Linked DNA regions of Arabidopsis thaliana. The protein of the gene in region 1 interacts with the protein of each later gene in a biochemical or structural test. Each region holds a gene or a part of one and is shown on either strand. Other genes may lie near its edges.

What was found.
Region 2: the proteins of PPI1 (region 1) and HA1 form a complex in vitro, tested with the Arabidopsis thaliana proteins (one study listed by BioGRID).

Annotation. Positions count from the first base shown.
Region 1 is NC_003075.7:13,739,743-13,748,529, forward strand, and holds PPI1 (proton pump interactor 1), read left to right. Parts: upstream 1-3,268; 5' UTR 3,269-3,532; intron 3,533-3,560; exon of another isoform or gene 3,561-3,849; 5' UTR 3,850-3,871; coding exon 3,872-4,234; intron 4,235-4,327; coding exon 4,328-4,519; intron 4,520-4,608; coding exon 4,609-4,788; intron 4,789-4,863; coding exon 4,864-5,058; intron 5,059-5,154; coding exon 5,155-5,769; coding exon of another isoform or gene 5,770-5,832; intron 5,833-5,862; exon of another isoform or gene 5,863-5,864; coding exon 5,865-6,158; 3' UTR 6,159-6,469; downstream 6,470-8,787. Other genes in the region: RRP41L (3'-5'-exoribonuclease family protein), read left to right, coding at 219-357, 502-580, 674-776, 850-970, 1,128-1,216, 1,408-1,557, 1,816-1,905; AT4G27510 (2-isopropylmalate synthase), read right to left, coding at 6,542-6,845, 6,950-7,020, 7,099-8,331, 8,469-8,787. UniProt on the Arabidopsis thaliana protein: Promotes AHA1 plasma membrane ATPase activity by binding to a site different from the 14-3-3 binding site.
Region 2 is NC_003071.7:8,217,849-8,229,260, forward strand, and holds HA1 (H[+]-ATPase 1), read left to right. Parts: upstream 1-3,665; 5' UTR 3,666-4,009; coding exon 4,010-4,051; intron 4,052-4,304; exon of another isoform or gene 4,305-5,329; coding exon 5,330-5,449; intron 5,450-5,542; coding exon 5,543-5,779; intron 5,780-5,863; coding exon 5,864-6,625; intron 6,626-6,720; coding exon 6,721-6,843; intron 6,844-6,921; coding exon 6,922-7,026; intron 7,027-7,117; coding exon 7,118-7,262; intron 7,263-7,351; coding exon 7,352-7,516; intron 7,517-7,608; coding exon 7,609-7,847; intron 7,848-7,941; coding exon 7,942-7,974; intron 7,975-8,064; coding exon 8,065-8,146; intron 8,147-8,233; coding exon 8,234-8,394; intron 8,395-8,523; coding exon 8,524-8,697; intron 8,698-8,781; coding exon 8,782-8,964; intron 8,965-9,050; coding exon 9,051-9,232; intron 9,233-9,323; coding exon 9,324-9,420; 3' UTR 9,421-9,774; downstream 9,775-11,412. Other genes in the region: AT2G18969 (transcription factor/transcription regulator), read right to left, coding at 11,199-11,412. UniProt on the Arabidopsis thaliana protein: The plasma membrane H(+) ATPase of plants and fungi generates a proton gradient that drives the active transport of nutrients by H(+)-symport. The resulting external acidification and/or internal alkinization may mediate growth responses.

The DNA.
Region 1 (8,787 bases):
TAATTATTTTTTGCTAAACCCTAAAAATCTTTTAACGGCGTTTATCGTTCTTCCACTCTCTCCGCCGCGTTCTCTGTCTCTCAAACCCTCAGGGTAACGATTCTTCTTATTAGACCAACTGTTGCTTCTTTCGCATCGTAGCTCTGAGATTGACCCATTGATTTCTCAACTCTTTCTCAGTAATCAGATTCGATTTTGTTTAGTCTCAGCTCAGAACAATGGCAGCTAAACCTGGAGCCGCAACTCCAACGTATTCACCTAAAATCGTCGGAAGAAGTCGGCTTCCTATATTCAAAGATTCCGACCTCGATTGGTCTCGTCCTGATGGCCGTGGCTTCCACCAATGCCGACCCGCATGTAAAAACACCTTTGATTCCTCTAAATTCTTAATCGTTAGGGTTCTTCATTGTGAAATTACGGTTGGATTCATATGACTCCAGTTATTTGTGAGACTAAACTAGATTTGAATTTTGTTTCTTTTGTGAAAAATGCTTCTTTCAGTACTTCAAACTGGTGCTGTGAGTTCTGCTTCTGGTTCTGCTTATGCTGAGTTTGGGAACACTAAAGTTATTGTTTCAGTGTGAGTATTATTAGATTAGAAAACTTGTATATTCAGGATTTGCATTAACTTTTCTGTCAGCTAAATTCGCTTTTGTGTGTTCAAAAATTTTAGATTTGGGCCAAGGGAGAGTAAGAAAGCAATGGTTTATAGTGATGTAGGTAGATTGAATTGTAATGTTAGCTATACAAATTTTGCTTCCCCTACTCTTGGCCAGGTAATCTCCAAATTTCGCAACATTTGGTGTTAACTTGTTTCATCAAATTTAGTAATACATTGTGGTATTTTAGGGAACTGATCACAAAGAATATTCATCAATGCTTCACAAAGCATTGGAAGGTGTAATAATGATGGAGACGTTTCCAAAAACAACCGTTGATGTTTTTGCATTGGTTCTTGAATCTGGAGGAAGTAAGTCTTAACAATAACTCGACTGCTATCAAAATTATTTTACCAGAATGTGATTGCTTATTGGTTCGCTTGGACATTCGTGGAGTTGATTATGGAAGCAACTTATTGGATTGTTGTTTGGCATTTTCTGATTTTCTCCAATGGTATTGTATTGCAGGTGACCTCTCTGTTTTGATATCATGTGCTAGTCTTGCTTTAGCTGATGCCGGAATTATGATGTATGACCTTATCACAGCTGTTTCAGTGGTATGTGTATGTTACAATAGTTGCATTGATTCCTCTGCGTTATCTCTTATGTTTATTAGCATTAAGTGAAGAAGAAAGTAACACATACATTGACATATACAAGTGCACCATAGTCTGAGACATGTAAAACGTATAGATATCTGTTAATTCTTTATTTTGATACACTGAAATTATGCCTGCAATTTTCGAAGTCTTGCATAGGCAAAAGCCTTATGATAGACCCGGTTACAGAGGAGGAAGGATGTGAAGATGGCAGCTTTATGATGACGTGCATGCCATCTCGTTATGAAATCACTCAGCTAACCATCACTGGTGAATGGACAACACCTAATATCAACGAGGTATGCCTTTCAATAATATCTCTTGTCCTTAATTTGCCGATGACGGTTAGAGACAAAAGGTCTTTCTTTTCTTAGTGTTGAATATTGATGTTATTCAACTGCTTTGTTTGTCTAAATCACATGGATATTGGTTAATTAGACTGTTCTTCATTTTCTTTTTAAGCTGTTCATACCATAGGGTCTATGTTGTTAACATATAATTGTGACATAGGAGCTGTGCAGACATGTTACCAAACATTTGTATTTCAAATATTGCAGGCAATGCAGCTTTGCTTGGATGCTAGTTCAAAACTTGGAGAGATCATGCGTGATTGTCTGAAACAGTCTGCCTCAGCTTCCGATGAATGAGCATAAATAACTATGATTTTGGATTGTAGCTCAGACTTGGTATGAAACCGGTTTTAGCTGTTATAGGTAAACGGATTTAGTCTAAACCTGTGTGTAGTTTAAACCGATGTATGTTTTCACATAAGATTTGATGGAACTAGATCTTTAGCTATGAAATGGATCCCAATTGCGAGTGGTATCAAAGACATACAGAATTTAAAGTAGGGAATTTCAACAAATCAATCACATTGTTCTTTACAATTTCAAAAAACTTGTGGATGATATTAATATCAGATTTTCTAAATTTATACGAAAATGGAATGATATTAAGAATAGTATACAGAAAAATGAAGAAAAGAGTAACTGATTTTTGCATCTTAAAAAAGAAAAAGTCTTCTCTGGTTCACACATCACACAAGTTGGGGGCGGTGATGAAGGAGGGTGTTTAGGTAATATCAGCTAACGTCGGAACTTCAACTGATCATGTAGTACGTACGATACGAAGAAGAAGAATCTAATCCGCATGACATGTGATTATTTTGGTCAGAGAGAGAAGAGAAGACGTGTGTCGCAGCAAAGTGGACAGTTGTGCCCTTATAGCCAAAGAAGACTTCACACGTTTTCAACACCACCTAACAACTGTTTCTTTCTATCTCCCACCTCTTCCCCATTTTTGTCTTTTTATTTCTTCTTCTAGTTTCTCCCAATTTTCTCTTTGATTTTTTTTTGTTTTTTCTTGTCTTCTTGTTAAGATTGATACATGAACTAATAGAGTAACTAGTAAATTCTAAGACCTTTCAGCATTCTTGAAATGACAATTACAAACACACGATAATTTGCGGGAACATGAATGATAGAAGACATTAGAAAAAAAAAACTCCAATGTATAAAAAGTTTATGAAAAATATAATAACATTTTTTACGAATTATTCAGTTTTCTGTAAATTTTTATTTATTTCGTAAATGCTTGTATCTAACATTTCAGCTAGATTGTTCTACTGATTAATTTCTATCTAACATTTTATGAACTTTATCATTTCAGTAACCGCAATGCCCGTGACCACTCTGCATATAAAAGTGTATGTCTTCTTCACATTCAATCACACGTACTTTCAAAATTCTACTAAAAATTAAATGTTTTTTTTTTATATAACTAATCAAAGATATCTAAAGTTTTTGAGTCAAAGTTATGCGTTACTCAAATAGAAAAAAACATTTAGAAACCTAAAATAATATCTGCTCCTCCTAAAACATTTAATAACATTCAAAAACAAGTCAATAAAAAAAAAAAAATTTACGAATAAAGCCCTTAATTAGTCAAAAATGAACGAACAAAACAAAGGTAGGAGAAAGTATGAATGGCCCAATCGGGGAGATTGCAGTAGATTCATACAAATCTGTAAATACAATTTTACCGGGTTTGGTAAAAATCACAATAGATCATTTTTTATTAATAAGAAAGAGAAAAAGAATGCAAATTCGTGGGGTTTCCAAGAAATGCAAGTGATATATTTAGAGATTGAGATCTGACCCCATTTTTTGCTTAACACACAAAAAATCCTTGGGCAGAGGAAAAAGTTTATAGCGACTCTTTTCCTCTAAAAGGGTCTGTCTCTTCCTTCTTCTCTCTTCAGATCTCCATTTCACGGTATCCTTCTCTCTTCCCCTTGTCTCTATTGACTTTTATTTGCTTTGATTTTTATCGATCGTCTCTGATCTTTTGCTAATTTAACTTGTTTCCGTTTGTTTTGAATTTACTCTCTCCTGATCTTTGGCATGTATTTTGAATCTGCTGTTCTTAGTTTTTTATTTGATCTTGTTCTCGTCTGTCTTAATATTGAATAATTGACTAGTTTTATTTACAGATCTTTGCATTATAGATCCCTTCAAGTGCGATTTTAATCGTAGATTAGTTTTGGATCCGTTATATTGGACTGATGTTTTTGATGTATTTTTTGGTATTAGGATCAATCCTGTGTTTGAAACAATGGGTGTTGAAGTTGTAAACTCTGGTGGATTTGAGGTTGCTCCGGCTCCTTTCGAGGGGAAACCTGAGAAGAACGGGAAGCTGGACCAAGGAAAAGGAGATGATGCCCCCATCAATTTTGGTTCAGTCGGTGAGCTACCAAAGAATGCCGAAGAGAATAATAACAAAGTGGTCAACTCTGATGCACCCAAAAATGCAGCAGAAGAGTGGCCTGTGGCTAAGCAGATCCACTCTTTCTACCTTGTTAAATACCGTTCTTACGCTGACCCCAAAATTAAAGCTAAGCTTGATCTAGCTGATAAAGAGCTTGAAAAGTTGAACAAAGCTCGGACTGGAGTTTTGGACAAGTTGAGAGCTAAGAGGGTATGTTTTTTTTGCTACCTTCTTGTGTCGGATTTAGGAGTTTCGTTATTTCTTTTATAGTGGTGCTGATAATGCGGTTTTGGTAATGCCTAGGCCGAGAGATCAGAGTTATTTGATCTGCTGGACCCGTTGAAGTCAGAGCGTAAGGGATTCAACACAATGTTTGATGAGAAAAGAAAGGAAATGGAACCATTGCAGCAAGCACTGGGAAAGTTAAGGAGCAATGATGGTGGGAGTGCTCGTGGCCCTGCTATCTGTTCCTCCGAGGAAGAGCTGAATAGTATGGTAATTATATGAGACCTTTTTTTTTGTTTTCGATAGCTTTGGTTAGCCTTTTCGGTATTCTCATTTGCCTGAGTTTGTGGAAAATGAAGATATACAGCTATCAGTATCGGATTCAACATGAAAGCATTCCGTTAACCGAGGAGAAGCAGATTCTCAAAGAGATCAGGCTGCTTGAAGGGACAAGAGATAAGGTCATTGCTAATGCCGCTATGAGAGCCAAAATCAAAGAATCTATGGGTCAGAAGGATGATATCCAAGGTCAAGTTAAGGTAAGAGAGTTGTGGCCGGATTCTTGCTGTTATATAGTCTGTAGAAGTTGGTTTCATATGTGATGCTTTTTGCAGTTAATGGGTGCTGGTTTGGATGGAGTGAAAAAGGAGAGGCAAGCAATTTCAGCAAGGATTAATGAGCTGAGTGAGAAGTTGAAAGCTACCAAAGATGAGATTACGGTACTGGAAAATGAGCTCAAGACTGTGAGCGAAAAGAGAGACAAAGCCTATTCAAACATTCATGACCTCAGGAGGCAACGCGATGAGACGGTACAAACACTTACTTTTGAGCATTTTCTTCTGATGAAGAAGGATTCGTTTGTGTCAATTAGTAATCTTTGATTTTTGTATTCTTTTCTCATACAGAATTCCGAGTATTACCAAAACCGTACTGTGTTGAACAAAGCTAGAGACTTGGCTGCACAAAAGAACATAAGCGAGCTTGAGGCGCTAGCCAATGCTGAGGTTGAGAAATTTATATCCCTTTGGTGCAGTAAGAAGAATTTCAGAGAAGATTATGAGAAGAGAATCTTGCAATCACTTGATTCTAGGCAGCTGAGCCGAGATGGACGGATGAGGAACCCCGATGAGAAGCCTCTGATTGCTCCAGAGGCAGCACCATCAAAGGCAACGCCTTCTGAAACCGAGGTTGTCCCTAAAGCTAAGGCAAAGCCGCAGCCAAAGGAGGAACCAGTTTCTGCACCTAAACCAGATGCTACTGTTGCTCAGAATACTGAGAAAGCTAAAGATGCAGTAAAAGTAAAGAATGTTGCTGATGATGATGATGATGAAGTATATGGTCTTGGAAAGCCGCAGAAGGAAGAAAAGCCGGTTGATGCAGCTACGGCGAAGGAAATGAGAAAGCAAGAGGAGATTGCTAAAGCCAAGCAAGCCATGGAAAGGAAGAAGAAGCTGGCAGAGAAAGCTGCTGCTAAAGCTGCTATAAGAGCTCAAAAGGAAGCTGAGAAGAAAGAAAAGAAGGAAATTACCTTTTCTTTTTTGTTGTACCTCAATGCTCTTTGCATTCTTCTCTCTCCATTCTAACAGTTCTCGCCATCTTTTTTTGTGTGTTGCAGGAGCAAGAGAAGAAGGCCAAGAAGAAAACCGGAGGCAACACAGAAACCGAGACTGAGGAAGTTCCAGAAGCTTCTGAGGAGGAGATTGAAGCTCCGGTGCAGGAGGAGAAACCGCAGAAGGAAAAAGTCTTCAAGGAGAAACCAATAAGGAACAGGACCCGCGGTAGGGGACCAGAAACGATCCCAAGAGCGATCCTTAAGCGTAAGAAGTCGACTAATTACTGGGTTTATGCTGCTCCAGCGGCTCTGGTGGTACTGTTGCTTCTTGTCTTGGGTTACTACTACGTTCTCTAGATCGAACGGAGTGATCAAGCGAAGCTGTCTTGTTGTAGTTTGGAATACTTTAAAACTGGGATTTTTGCCTTCTTGACTCTTAAAAAACTCATAAGCTTATGCATCTTTTACATACGAGTAGAGACTCTTTTCTTTTAAGTACTTTTTACAATCTTCTCTTCTGTTGTTGAGGCTTTAACTTTGAAGGAAGAAAACAGTTTTTGTTACATTTTATAGTTTTCCATAATGTACTGCTTGAGATTTGATATTTCTTTTCGTCTCTTTGCAAGGTCGTTGGGTCAAAAAATTTCCATGATAATAGAAACCATTTTATACATAATTATCAGAGACTAAAGTAGTGACATTTCTACATGATGAACTCTTTTACAACAGAAGATTAACATTCAGCTTTTAGACCCTCTTCCTCTGTTCTCTCTCCAAGCTTTTTGCTTCTTATTCCACCTTTCTTTAGCAATCTTGTCTGACTTCCACCGTTGGTTCCGAAATCGTTCTCTCCCTTTTAGCCAGTCGGAGTAGTCCTTACCGGGATCACACGCTATGAAATCTGCCAACTCGTCCACATCGGTTTTTGTCACGTTACCTTTTCCTGCCATACACCACAGAAATCTCTCCCCATTGCAGGTTTCCTCTTCAACACCAACTCCTGAATCTGAACCATTCTCTGGACCTTTAGCTTCAGACACCTTCCTGCACAACCATGGAGTAATATGTAGTTGTTGGTTAAAGCTCTCATGGATGCATTATGAAAGCGAAGAAGAGAAAAAATATGACTTTTGCTGGTCTATACATACCCCAAGTACAAAGTTCGGTTTTTGTGAAACTTCAAAGCAACTGCCCCGCTCTGTTTCCTATCTACTGCTGTCTGTACCATATAATTATATTGATCCATTTAGAAAAGCGCAGAATTTAGACTTTGTGCAAAAGAGTTTTTAGTTGTTACCTTGTCAGCTTTACCAGAAGCAGCCAAGTTTTTGGAACCACTGGATAGTATAGACGATGACGTGTTTTCTGAGTGACCAACTGAATCCCCAAGTGCTTCCAAGTCACCCCCTTCTAGGATGAATAAATACATAGATATCACCATTCCAAAAATGGAGTCCTTCACTAGAAAGTCAAGCTTGAGTGCAAAGCTTACAGACAGTAAGCCTGAAAAATGCATAAGCATCCACTTAGATCTGTGAGGGTAAGATTCCATTCTATCGCGCAGGAAACTTTGACAGGGCATATGAATATTGAACTGTTCAAAACGTTGAACAACATCCATCATGGCTTTGTATTCCTTGCAAGCTCGAACATCACCTCCAGCTTCATGCCAGTTCCAATTCCTGAGAACCCGGATGGCTTGCAACATCGAACAAGTCATGAACTTAAGTGTGGATGCAAGCAGATATAGATCTTCCATACTAGATGTGTTGTATTTTTCCAACACAGAGTCCATAACATCATCAGAACTAGCTCTAAGTATCACGCAACCAAGAATTGATAAGGTCTGAGACAACATACTTTCAGAGCAGGAGCTATCAAATACACATAAGCTTTCCTTTGCGTATGCAACAGAATACGCTACCAGCTCATTGTTTTCTCTCTTCGCATTATCACTTTGATATGAATCCCATGAATCCTTTAGCTGCTGTGTAACATCATTAACTTTCGCCAGTGTTGAGGGCAAAAGACGATGTTCAAAAGCCACCCGAGACTTACTCGTCAAAAAGCCAAACTTCCCAGACAGGCCATTCTCACTCTTAGACATGTGTCTCTTATACAAAACAACAGACTTTTCAAATGCATCAATATAGTGATCAATAAGCTGAAGGTCTAATCCCTTAAAACATGGATGTGAACAAATACCAATGGCGTCAGACACCAATAAAACCACATAGGCATGGATCATTTTTGGTGCAGAGAACATAACCGGGTTTAGCAGCAAGGACACAGCAGCACTCAAGCTTATCTGGGGAGTTCTAAATGCATTACCTTTCTTCCAATATAATCTCTCAACACACATTTGATTCGTTTTCTCATCAGAAGTTGCGATAATAAAATGAGCAGAAACGATTTGCACCACACCGGCCCTATCATGCTTACTAAACAGTCTACATGAGGAGAATGCAGAATCAACTACGAAAAGAAGGTCGCTGATTGACTTATTCACCAAAATCTCATCCATAAAAACCTGTACATATAAATAATCAAAAACCCAGTGAGCATGCTTTCTTCAACTTAAAAGCCCTTGCCAAAGGTATAGTCAAAAAGCCACAAGTTCATCAGAAATCCAAGATAAAAATGAGCCACAAATTAGTTAACTTTTACCTCAATCCCTGTACAAAGAAACGTATGACGGGGATCTAAAGAACCGTCATGCGTGAATACAAAAGAACAATCTCCATTTCTTGCACGAATCAATCTACCGAGGATCGAGAGAAGAGTTTTGGCCTTCTCCAGAACAAGCTCTTGTTTGGCCACAAGTAAAGACATGATCTTCATACAACATTTTAAGAACAGCGAAGCTAATTCAATACTATCTTCTGTACTTTCAAATGTAGGACAAGTTTCAGCCTTTTGTTTGAATAAAGTAGCGAACAGGCTTTCGAGACTCCTATCAAGCTCTGTGAACAACACATCAGAGAGG
Region 2 (11,412 bases), on another chromosome or scaffold:
GCTCATACTAATACAAACAATAATTAAAACGGGTTATTTGTTGGTCGTTGGTCGTTAGTGTTAAAGAAATGAATAACAAAACACGTTGCTTATTGTTATCGGTAATCATTTTTCGTTAGTAAAATAAACAATACTTAAATATAACTTCTTTTTTTTTTTTTCTTTTTTTTTTTTGAATATCAGGAGGTTCTGGGCCGGAGCCCGTAATCCCCAGGCCCGAAACCACAACATGTAATATTAGTTTCGTTGTCACTCAAACCGGCGACCTCTAAATTTCGCTTAAAGTATTTATCAATTGAGCTAACGACACTTGATTAAATATAACTCTTCCCATCACCTCTTCCAAAAAAAGGAATAAGTAAGACTATAACATTACTTTTCCTGATAACGATATATCGCGAACCTTCACGAAAGTATCATTAGGTTCAGTGGCAGAGAGATAGTTTATATTTTTGATTCATATTTGTTAATTTGTGATTCAGTTATGAAATCTTGCTGGGTCTTAAAAAAGAGAAGAATCGTGTTGTTTTCATATGTTTATAAAATTGAAAATACAATTGTCAATTTATTTTTAATTATGTGACCATTTCTACGACGAATGATCTAATCACAAGCGTAGTTGAAAACTTATCGCCCTCGCTATATTGATGTCAGTGTATTAACAAAATTATCATTATGCTAGTACTTATAATTATATGAATAAATAATAAACACTTGGATTCTAATATGTTCGCATGAGGATGAAAGTAAACTTTTATGCAAAACAAACTTATTATATATTATTGGTGTTCTATTTGGATTCTGTCTGCTGAACTGTATGGTTGTATTAAAACATATATACAATCTTTTACTTGTGTTTGTGGTAGAAATGGAAAATAGAAAAAAGAAGTGATAGAAACAAAAGTAATTTGGGGTATTGTAGTACTAGCGTTAGTTTTCTAAAAAATACCACTTAAAATTAGTATTTACAGATAACAGTTTAGCGAGCATAACTTACTGAATAGTTTCAAAATTGTTTTTAACAGACCTCTGTAAAAATTTAATTAGCGACCTTTTCTATGCTAAAATATTTTTCAAGTGTTTATATATAATCAATTGATATATCAAACAGAATCAAAAGCAAGGGTTAATTTGCAAAATGGCTAATTTTTTTTATAGTTGCTAAAAATATAATTTTAAATAACTAACTAAAAGCAAATGAAAAAGTACTTTAATAGTTGACCTTCAAAAATATTTCATTTAATATTCACGTAGAGCTACTCGTTTTATTCATTGGTAAAATTTAAGAAAACGTGGTAACAAATGATTTTCTTTTTTGGAGGCTAATATAATAATGAATACTATTAAGTACGAGAGAAAAAAAAGATTAGGCTAAGAACTAATAATAATGGAATGATGGAATATAAAAATTCTATTTTGTTTGGATGATCTAACCTTTCATTTAACCTAAATGGGTGATTTTCTTTTCTGTAATATATCACTTTTATATTATATGATTTTAATGTTAACAGATTTTATTAAATAGAGTTGAAGCTATATGATTTCAGGATGCCATATCATACTAATATTCTACGTACAAAACAATTTAGCACAGAAATAGTTTTACCGAAAACTAATTGATGGCAAGAAATCACATGATTATTATTTTTTGTAATTTGTTTTGTATATTTTCCATTAATATTTTGCTAATTAACTCAGCTAAAAATGTTTCAAAAAATAGATCTGATTATTTGGATGTTGGTTTTATATTTCCTTGTTATAAAAACAAAGAATATGACGAATAAATTTAACTTTTTGAAATCCTAAAAAAAAAAGCATACACATTTAAATAAATACTTTTATGTATTTACCTATGAAAGTTAAATTGATTTTGTCTATCAGATACATAAATGATCAAATAATAAATGAGAAAAACCTGCCCATATGTGCCGATATATATCCAGTTGAATTAAACCATCATCTTCTTGTTTCTTTGTTTTTAAAATTCTCTTATGAAATCGATCTTTTAGATAAAATACAATCGAATTTATGGAAGCAAGAAAAAAAAATTACGTAGGGGAGGTGTATTATTGGGGGACCCAGCACGATCAAAAAGTCAATATTCATCAGCCAATTTGCTGAATAAATAAATAAATAACCTTGAAAACAATTTTTGGTTAAATTACAAAAATAATGATATCCACAAACATGTGAATTGTTCCAGCAATTGCTGACCTTGCCATGAGGCACCTTGGAAGAGCCATTGCTTCATTACAATCCTTTAAAGCCATAAATATGAGATTAGGATTACCAAAATTTCACATATAACAAATTGTTTTATATCATTACTAGCTTAATATGTGTTTTATTATAGTTTTAGATCGACGTCATCTGAATATTTTCCCCCAAACTCCTAAATTTTATAATCTGTGTCTAAACCTAATTTTATATTTCAAAACATCCCTTTTTCTGGAAGAAACTTGTCTTTTAATTTTTTTTTTTTTTTTCACACTTGTCTTTTAATTTCCTTAAGAGACCAAATCAAGTTAATTTAGTGTACTCACCACCTTTAAAACAGGTCAAGTTAATTTATTTGAACATCAGTAATAAATTTATGAACATCTCTTTTCAACATCGGTATTCTTAAATAGTGTTTTAGAATCGTCATTTTAACTTTATGTTTCACTAAACTTAGAAAATATTTAGTTTTTTTTATCTCAATTAGTAATTATCATTTAAATTTTTATTTTCTCGGTTTCTACTTCGCCACTATTATTTAACATATTATTAAACAAATTAGTATTATACGGGTTGATTTTAATTTTCCAATTACAAATTAATTAAAATTCAACTTTTTGATTGGTTGTATAATCCGAAGGAAAAATGTTTACATACGAATTGTTTTAAAAACACTTTGATTTAAAAGTCCGACCTAAACAATCAACATGAAAATTAAACTTATGAGCAAATTAGGTTGATCTAGAAAATAACTTTTGCATTTGTCTCATAGGGAATTATAAAGTTAGTATCTACACACATATATCAAATATACATGTTATATCTATATTACTCTCTCTCTCTCTCTCTCTCTCTCTCTATATATATATATATATATATATATGTATATTCACAAATCCATGTATGTATTTTAAATTTTGTTTGTTTTTTTTTTCCTTCAAAATGAGTAACTTATATAGAAGTCATTAAGATTAGCTTTGCACAACTCTTTGGGAACAAAAAAGAACCCAAATTTTAAGCATTATTCAATGTTCATATAATTATTATGTATATTATTTTTCCTTATTGATTATCAATTTTATATACACAAAAAGATATCAGTGAAGAACTTATGATTGTGCATATTTTCTGTCCATACATAACCACAATATTAATCAAAAATTTAAATTTATCTTAGATATTTTTCTTATGATAATTCAATACTGTATAATTTTTTAAAATCTATACATTACAGTTTTGTCTTTTAAATCATATTCTAATATGCATAAATATCTAGAAAAATACTAACTCCATAGAATTAAATTTCTTATGTAAGTTTAGTATATTATCCTAAATTTGTGTTAATGTTAAGATTTCTACTAAATTTGATACTCAAAAGTAAAAAGTTTCTCTTAATAGAAAAAAATAAATATAGATTCTCTTACATTACAGGATCAGAGTATAAAACCAGTTTAAGTAAACAATGTTTCAAAAAACAGTATGATATCTGAAATTTTAATTATAAAACCAAAAATCCAAAGTCAAATATACGTTTTCCAAGTGAGAAAGGACCCATAAACAATTAACAACCATTGATGATCACCAAATCATAATCAACGGTCGAAATGAATGAAAAATAAAAGTCTGAAACGGTGGAGAGTTTCGTCGTTTTGAGTGGTTATAAAAAGAGAAGGCGTATATCTCCTCTGCAACAGAAGCTCGCTTTCTCTCTCTCTCTCTCGTGTGTGTGTGTGTGATCGAGTGGTGAAACGACAGAGAGGGGCGTCGTTTTGTTGATTTCTTCTGGGTGAAGATGTCAGGTCTCGAAGATATCAAGAACGAGACCGTTGATCTGGTATTATTTCGATTCTCTTCTCGCTTAAATTCTTCGAGTTTTTAATTTCATTTTTAGTGTTTATTCATCATGCCCACAAAGTGTTCGATGATTTGCTTGAATGAGAAATAGATCTGTTTCGTTGTTGTTCCTTGCATGGTTTCACGTTTGATTCTTTTACCCTTTTTTCTTCAAATCATTTTCCGATGATTCTACTCCTTTTTTCTTTGATCGAAAACTGAATCTTAATTCCTCAAGAACCCGAAAAATCCGCAAAAAAAAAAAAAACCGATTTTTCCCCCCAATTGTATCTGCCTCATTTTCGATGATTCTATCATGGATCCTATACAAAACCCAAATCAAGATTCCAACTTTATTAATTTTGGTCTAAAATTAGGGTAAAATAACAGATGTCTTTTAAAGGTTTTAGGTATTAAGCCAAAAATAAGTAGATTTTGATACTGTTCATCAGAAAAAGTAGATCTACCCAAAAACTACACACATGTGAAACGCTGAATAAAAAGATAAGTCTTTTTAGTGGTGGAGCTAAGCTTAAGCTACGTCTCAACAAAAGTCTCTTTCACATATTTATTAAAAGAGAAAAAAATCGCAAAAAGTTTGATTTTGCTTGTGATATATAACTTTCTTTCTCTAAAAAAAATCATCTTTTTTTTGTAAAGATAACGTTTTTGATGTTAAAGCAGTTCATAATATTCTTCTATCTTCCACCCATGAAAAATACCAGAGTTTTTAATAAATTTAAGTTTTCAACTTTTTTTTAAATTGTTGTTGATGTTCGAATTTTTTTGATGTACCTTTCCGTAGTACGTTTTTTTTTTTTTTGAACTTCTTTGTCCTTTTGTAAAACATCTATCAGTAGAAGCAACTTGTGAATTCCTCTATTGTAATTGATTTTGTTTAGTGAAATTGTTTTATGACCGAAATACCCTTAACCGGACTTTGGCTTTCACGCCGGAAAGTAGCCACCTTTCATGGAGGGAATCCCGCAGGCGCGTGTGTTACACGTTCCATAACACGTGCATTGAAGTAGTAGTAGTAGTGGTGGTGGTGGTGGTGGTCCCTCTATCCTCCACTGCCAGATTCTTTTCACCTTTCATTGTCACAACTTGAGTCAACGCCACTCTTCATCTTCCGAGTCGCCGAGTTGGATCGTTTCTGACATTTGTAAAAAGATTTCAAAACTAGAAAAGTTTTTGTCTTTTTTACCCTTTTGTTCTTGTTTGATGTTTGAGTTACTATTGTTTGGGTTCTGATCAAAACTTTTGCTTTGATTCTCAGGAAAAAATTCCGATTGAGGAAGTTTTCCAGCAGCTAAAATGTACAAGGGAAGGATTGACAACGCAGGAAGGGGAAGACAGGATTGTGATATTTGGCCCCAACAAGCTCGAAGAGAAGAAGGTTTGAGTTTGACTTAGCATTGTTGTTTTATCATCATTGAAAGCTTTGGTTTTGTTTAACTCACGAGGTTGATCTTTCGTAAAAAAATATCAGGAAAGCAAAATTCTGAAGTTTCTGGGGTTCATGTGGAATCCGCTTTCATGGGTTATGGAAGCTGCAGCTCTCATGGCCATTGCTTTGGCTAATGGTGATAATCGACCTCCGGATTGGCAAGATTTTGTGGGTATTATCTGTCTGCTTGTTATCAACTCCACAATCAGTTTCATTGAAGAAAACAACGCCGGAAATGCTGCAGCTGCTCTCATGGCTGGTCTTGCTCCTAAAACCAAGGTAATATGTTGGTGGATGCTGTGACATTACTGTACAAGATATTTCGAGACTTCTAGAGAGCTTAACCTGTTTCTCTGTTTTCAGGTTCTTAGGGATGGAAAATGGAGTGAACAAGAGGCTGCTATCCTTGTCCCAGGTGATATTGTTAGCATTAAACTTGGAGACATTATCCCAGCCGATGCCCGTCTTCTTGAAGGAGATCCTTTAAAGGTTGATCAGTCTGCTCTAACTGGAGAGTCCCTTCCTGTGACCAAGCACCCTGGTCAAGAAGTTTTCTCTGGTTCAACTTGTAAACAAGGAGAAATCGAAGCGGTTGTTATAGCCACTGGAGTTCACACCTTCTTTGGTAAAGCTGCTCACCTTGTGGACAGCACTAACCAAGTTGGGCACTTCCAGAAAGTTCTTACATCCATTGGAAACTTCTGTATCTGTTCTATTGCTATTGGTATAGCGATTGAAATAGTCGTCATGTACCCTATCCAACACCGAAAGTACAGAGATGGAATTGACAATCTCTTGGTCCTCTTGATCGGTGGTATCCCCATTGCTATGCCCACGGTCTTGTCTGTGACTATGGCTATCGGGTCTCACAGGTTGTCTCAGCAAGGTGCTATCACCAAACGTATGACAGCCATTGAAGAAATGGCGGGAATGGATGTCCTTTGCAGTGACAAAACCGGGACACTAACCCTTAATAAATTGAGTGTGGATAAAAACTTGGTTGAGGTTTTCTGCAAGGGTGTGGAGAAAGATCAAGTTCTACTATTTGCAGCTATGGCTTCTAGGGTGGAGAACCAGGACGCTATTGATGCAGCCATGGTTGGAATGCTTGCTGATCCGAAAGAGGTATAACTCTAATCATTTTGAATTACTTCTTTAGTTTAGTGAAAGGTCGAGAAAACAAGTTCTTAATTTCTTATGTTTCACTTGGATTTTCATAGGCCCGAGCTGGAATCAGAGAGGTTCACTTCCTTCCATTCAACCCTGTGGATAAGAGAACTGCTTTGACTTACATCGACTCTGATGGTAACTGGCACAGAGTCAGCAAAGGTGCTCCCGAGCAGGTGATGAATCTTCAACTTTCTCCTAAAGATGTTGCGTTTTTCCTTTATTCTGTGTACTAATTCGATTCTCCCACACAGATCCTTGACCTTGCCAATGCCAGGCCTGACCTTAGGAAGAAGGTACTCTCTTGTATTGACAAGTACGCTGAGCGCGGTCTTAGGTCGTTGGCAGTAGCTCGTCAGGTACTTTTTTACAAGCAATTTTTACATTGGTCTTATTTGGGTTTTTTTTTTGGCCTGTAAATCAACTGTTTAATTGCATATTCCTTTTTAGGTGGTACCCGAGAAAACAAAAGAAAGCCCAGGTGGACCATGGGAATTTGTTGGCTTGTTGCCTCTTTTTGACCCTCCAAGACACGACAGTGCCGAAACCATTCGTAGGGCGTTGAATCTAGGTGTTAATGTGAAGATGATCACTGGTAACTATTCTTATTCATCATTTTTTTCCCATGAAATCCATGGTTATTTAGATGTTTTCCCCTAACTTGCGCTCTAACTACGTTGCCAGGTGATCAACTTGCTATTGGTAAGGAAACCGGTCGCAGGCTTGGAATGGGAACCAATATGTATCCATCTGCGGCTCTTCTCGGTACCGACAAGGACTCGAACATTGCATCCATCCCTGTTGAGGAGTTGATCGAGAAGGCTGATGGGTTTGCCGGCGTCTTTCCAGGTTATGCCTTGCTTTCAGTTTCAAACCTCATCACATGTTCATTATAAAGTTTTGTTATATTGATCCAAGGTTCTTATGGTTACTGATTGCAGAGCACAAATATGAAATTGTGAAAAAGCTGCAGGAGAGGAAGCACATTGTTGGTATGACCGGTGATGGTGTTAATGATGCACCCGCTTTGAAGAAAGCAGATATCGGTATTGCTGTGGCCGATGCTACAGATGCTGCTCGTGGTGCTTCAGATATCGTCCTCACGGAACCTGGGCTGAGTGTCATCATCAGTGCCGTTCTCACTAGCAGAGCTATCTTCCAGAGAATGAAGAACTACACCGTGCGTATTCTTAATCTCACTCTAATATATTATGCCCACCACTTGTGTTCGTTTGCGCTGGAAACTAATAATTTTAGTTTCCTGCTTGTGACAGATTTATGCAGTCTCAATCACAATCCGTATTGTGGTAAGTAGAAACCCGTTTTACAAATCTATCACTTGTTTAGCATGATTTTACTTTTTGTATACTGATCATATTGCGTTGTAACTCTTGCAGTTTGGTTTCATGCTTATTGCTTTGATATGGGAATTTGACTTCTCAGCGTTCATGGTTCTGATTATTGCCATCCTTAATGATGGTGAGCAAATAACATCCTACTTTTCTAGACAGCGTCCTCACTCGTTATCAGCTATATCTTATGGTATTATGTGTTACTACCTTTTAGGTACTATCATGACAATCTCAAAGGACAGAGTCAAGCCATCTCCCACACCTGATAGCTGGAAGCTCAAAGAAATTTTCGCCACTGGAATTGTGCTGGGAGGCTACCAAGCCATTATGAGTGTTATTTTCTTCTGGGCTGCTCACAAGACCGACTTTTTCTCGGTACATCATCAGTTTATTTTCATTTCTTTTCTCTTTTTTTTGGTACAGGTGCTTCAGGGACTATATAGATATATATGGCCAGGCCTTTTGCTCTGAGTCTTAAAAAATTGTCTCACCTTCGATTTGCAGGACAAGTTCGGTGTGAGGTCAATCAGGGACAATAACGATGAACTAATGGGTGCTGTGTATCTACAAGTTAGTATCATCAGTCAAGCTCTAATCTTTGTCACCAGGTCAAGGAGTTGGTCATTTGTCGAACGTCCTGGGGCGCTTCTGATGATTGCATTCGTCATTGCACAACTGGTAAGGACATCAAGCACACATATTTTCTGAACTTCGATTAGGTTAAAGAAACCCACTGAATTCATTCACTCCTTCCAAATGCAGGTTGCAACTTTGATCGCAGTGTATGCCGACTGGACATTTGCAAAGGTGAAGGGTATCGGTTGGGGATGGGCAGGTGTGATTTGGATTTACAGTATCGTAACATACTTCCCACAGGACATTTTGAAGTTTGCCATTCGGTATATCTTGAGTGGAAAGGCTTGGGCCAGCTTGTTTGACAACAGGGTACATACAAGTCTATCTACCACTATAGAGACCTCTTTTACAAGCTGATGGTAACATACTAATCACATCTTCTTCTATGTTAACAGACCGCTTTCACAACCAAGAAAGATTACGGTATTGGAGAAAGAGAAGCTCAATGGGCACAAGCTCAAAGGACATTGCACGGTCTGCAGCCAAAAGAAGATGTTAATATCTTCCCAGAGAAAGGAAGTTACAGAGAGCTGTCTGAGATCGCAGAGCAAGCCAAGAGAAGGGCCGAGATAGCTAGGTAAGTAGTGTGATTAAAACGAATCTCAACGGAAAGATGCCATTTGATAGAGGTTCTGATTGGTGAATGATTTAATATTATGTTGTGACAGGCTTAGGGAGCTTCACACATTGAAGGGACATGTGGAATCAGTCGCAAAGCTAAAGGGATTGGACATTGATACAGCAGGACATCACTACACTGTGTAGTTGGAGTTGCACAACAACACAAACATTTACCGAAAACCAACCCCATCATGACTCATCTTTTGTTTTGTCTTCACAAATCTCTCTTTAAAAGTCATTACAGTAGAGGGAAGAGAACTCTTGTGTATTGCCATAACTCTTCCAAAACTCTTTTTTCTTTTTGTTATTGTTAGTCATTGTTCTTAAAACTCCTACTCGATATGAGCTTTGCAAATTTGCCTTTGAAGAAACAAGGCCCTTTGCCTTTGAAGAGACAAGGCACTTTGCTTTTTAATGGCCTAATGTGATTATTCTATCACTCTTTTGTCTGTTTGATCAATTTCATCTTGAAGATAATATTTAAATTTAATTCTAAAACAAGAACATTCTTGGTTTTCGTATAGTTTTGGTTTTCATAAATCAAGATATTTACAATGTTGTAAATTCGAGCGAAAGAGAGTGATTAGCTAGCAATGCGAACTCACATTCGAGGGATGTGTTGTTCTCGAAAGATTATCATATAATCCAGTCCCGAAAGACTCTATCTCAAAAGACTCTATCATAGAAAGAAGATGAAGCCAACAACAAGACATTTACAATGAGAGAGCGTTTCAGCGAAGATGAAGACAACACAATATTTACAATGAGAGGGCTTCTCAGTGCTACGGCTCTTCTTCATGGGCAGACACTCAAGAAAACATGTTATTTGCAAGTTGCCAGATAATTACGAGAAAAGACATTCTCTCGTAATTCGGTTTTTGCAAATTCGAATACTTCGTAAATATCATGTAAATTTTGGGAAGAAAGATTTTCGTAATAGATCCTTCACAAAATATGTCTAGTAAATCATTGGCAAGTATTGCTATGGATTTGCAATAACTCTTTTAAATAATTTGATTTGACACAAAATAATAATATACATCCTTGCAAATCCGTAGTAATTTGCTATAGGGAAACTTAAGAAATTATAATAAAATAATATTAAAATTATTTACGATAATAATATAATACATGTAAATTGTATTGTTATTTGTAATTGCAGATGATCATTTGGCTGTTTGCACTACTATAAAACTTTATGCAAAACCAAAAGCAAAGAATGACTCTGCGAGTCACGTCCAAAGATATGGATGATGACTTCAAATCATATATATCACCATTCCTCTAAAAATAAGAATTATTTCAACTTTCTCTAAGCTGAAAGTAAATACTCTTCTTTCAAGTTGCTCGTGTAATCCAAATAATATTGATGGTGATGATGAATACATCAATTCAAAGCAGTGACAAATTCATCCACTGTGTTAATTATGACGAACATTATATCGTTATGTTTTGTGCAAAGACGAAAATTTATAATATGAAATAAAAATATGTGCACAAAAAATAATTTAAAGTCAGTCGGCGTGAAATGACAAAATTATCATTTTTTTTTTTTTTTGTTGGTATACTCTCACGTAGTAACTTATAAAATAAAATAATGAACTTAAGAAAAAAGAAACAAGACAAAACAAGGTTCTGGGTAACACATGCTATCCTTGGATACATCACAACCAACAACTACTTCTCATCAAAATGTGTAAACATTAACAAATAAATAAAAATTATTGACCAGACTTTCACACTTTATTTACATGTTTAACATAATTACATTATATATTGTTGGGCAAAAGTCAGCTTCTAAATTTCAACTTTCAACAAATTTCTTTTGACGTCAATATAACAAATTTAAATTTATAGTTTTTGCTTTGTGATTGTATTCGCCTTATCATATTGAAGAGAAGAAACAATGAATTATATTATATTCAAGAAGTATTATCTTGTACAATAGATTTTAAAACAATCATCTGCAATTCAAGACATACAATGTAGCTTCCAATCTCACTCAAAATCTCCTCCATGTTCATCTCTTCTCCACCTGGCAAAAGCTTCTGCAATTCCTTCAATCTCTTCTTGATCTCTCCTCCTTCTTCTTCTTCGTCGCTGTCTTGGTGTTTTTCTCCACCTTGTCTCTTGCTC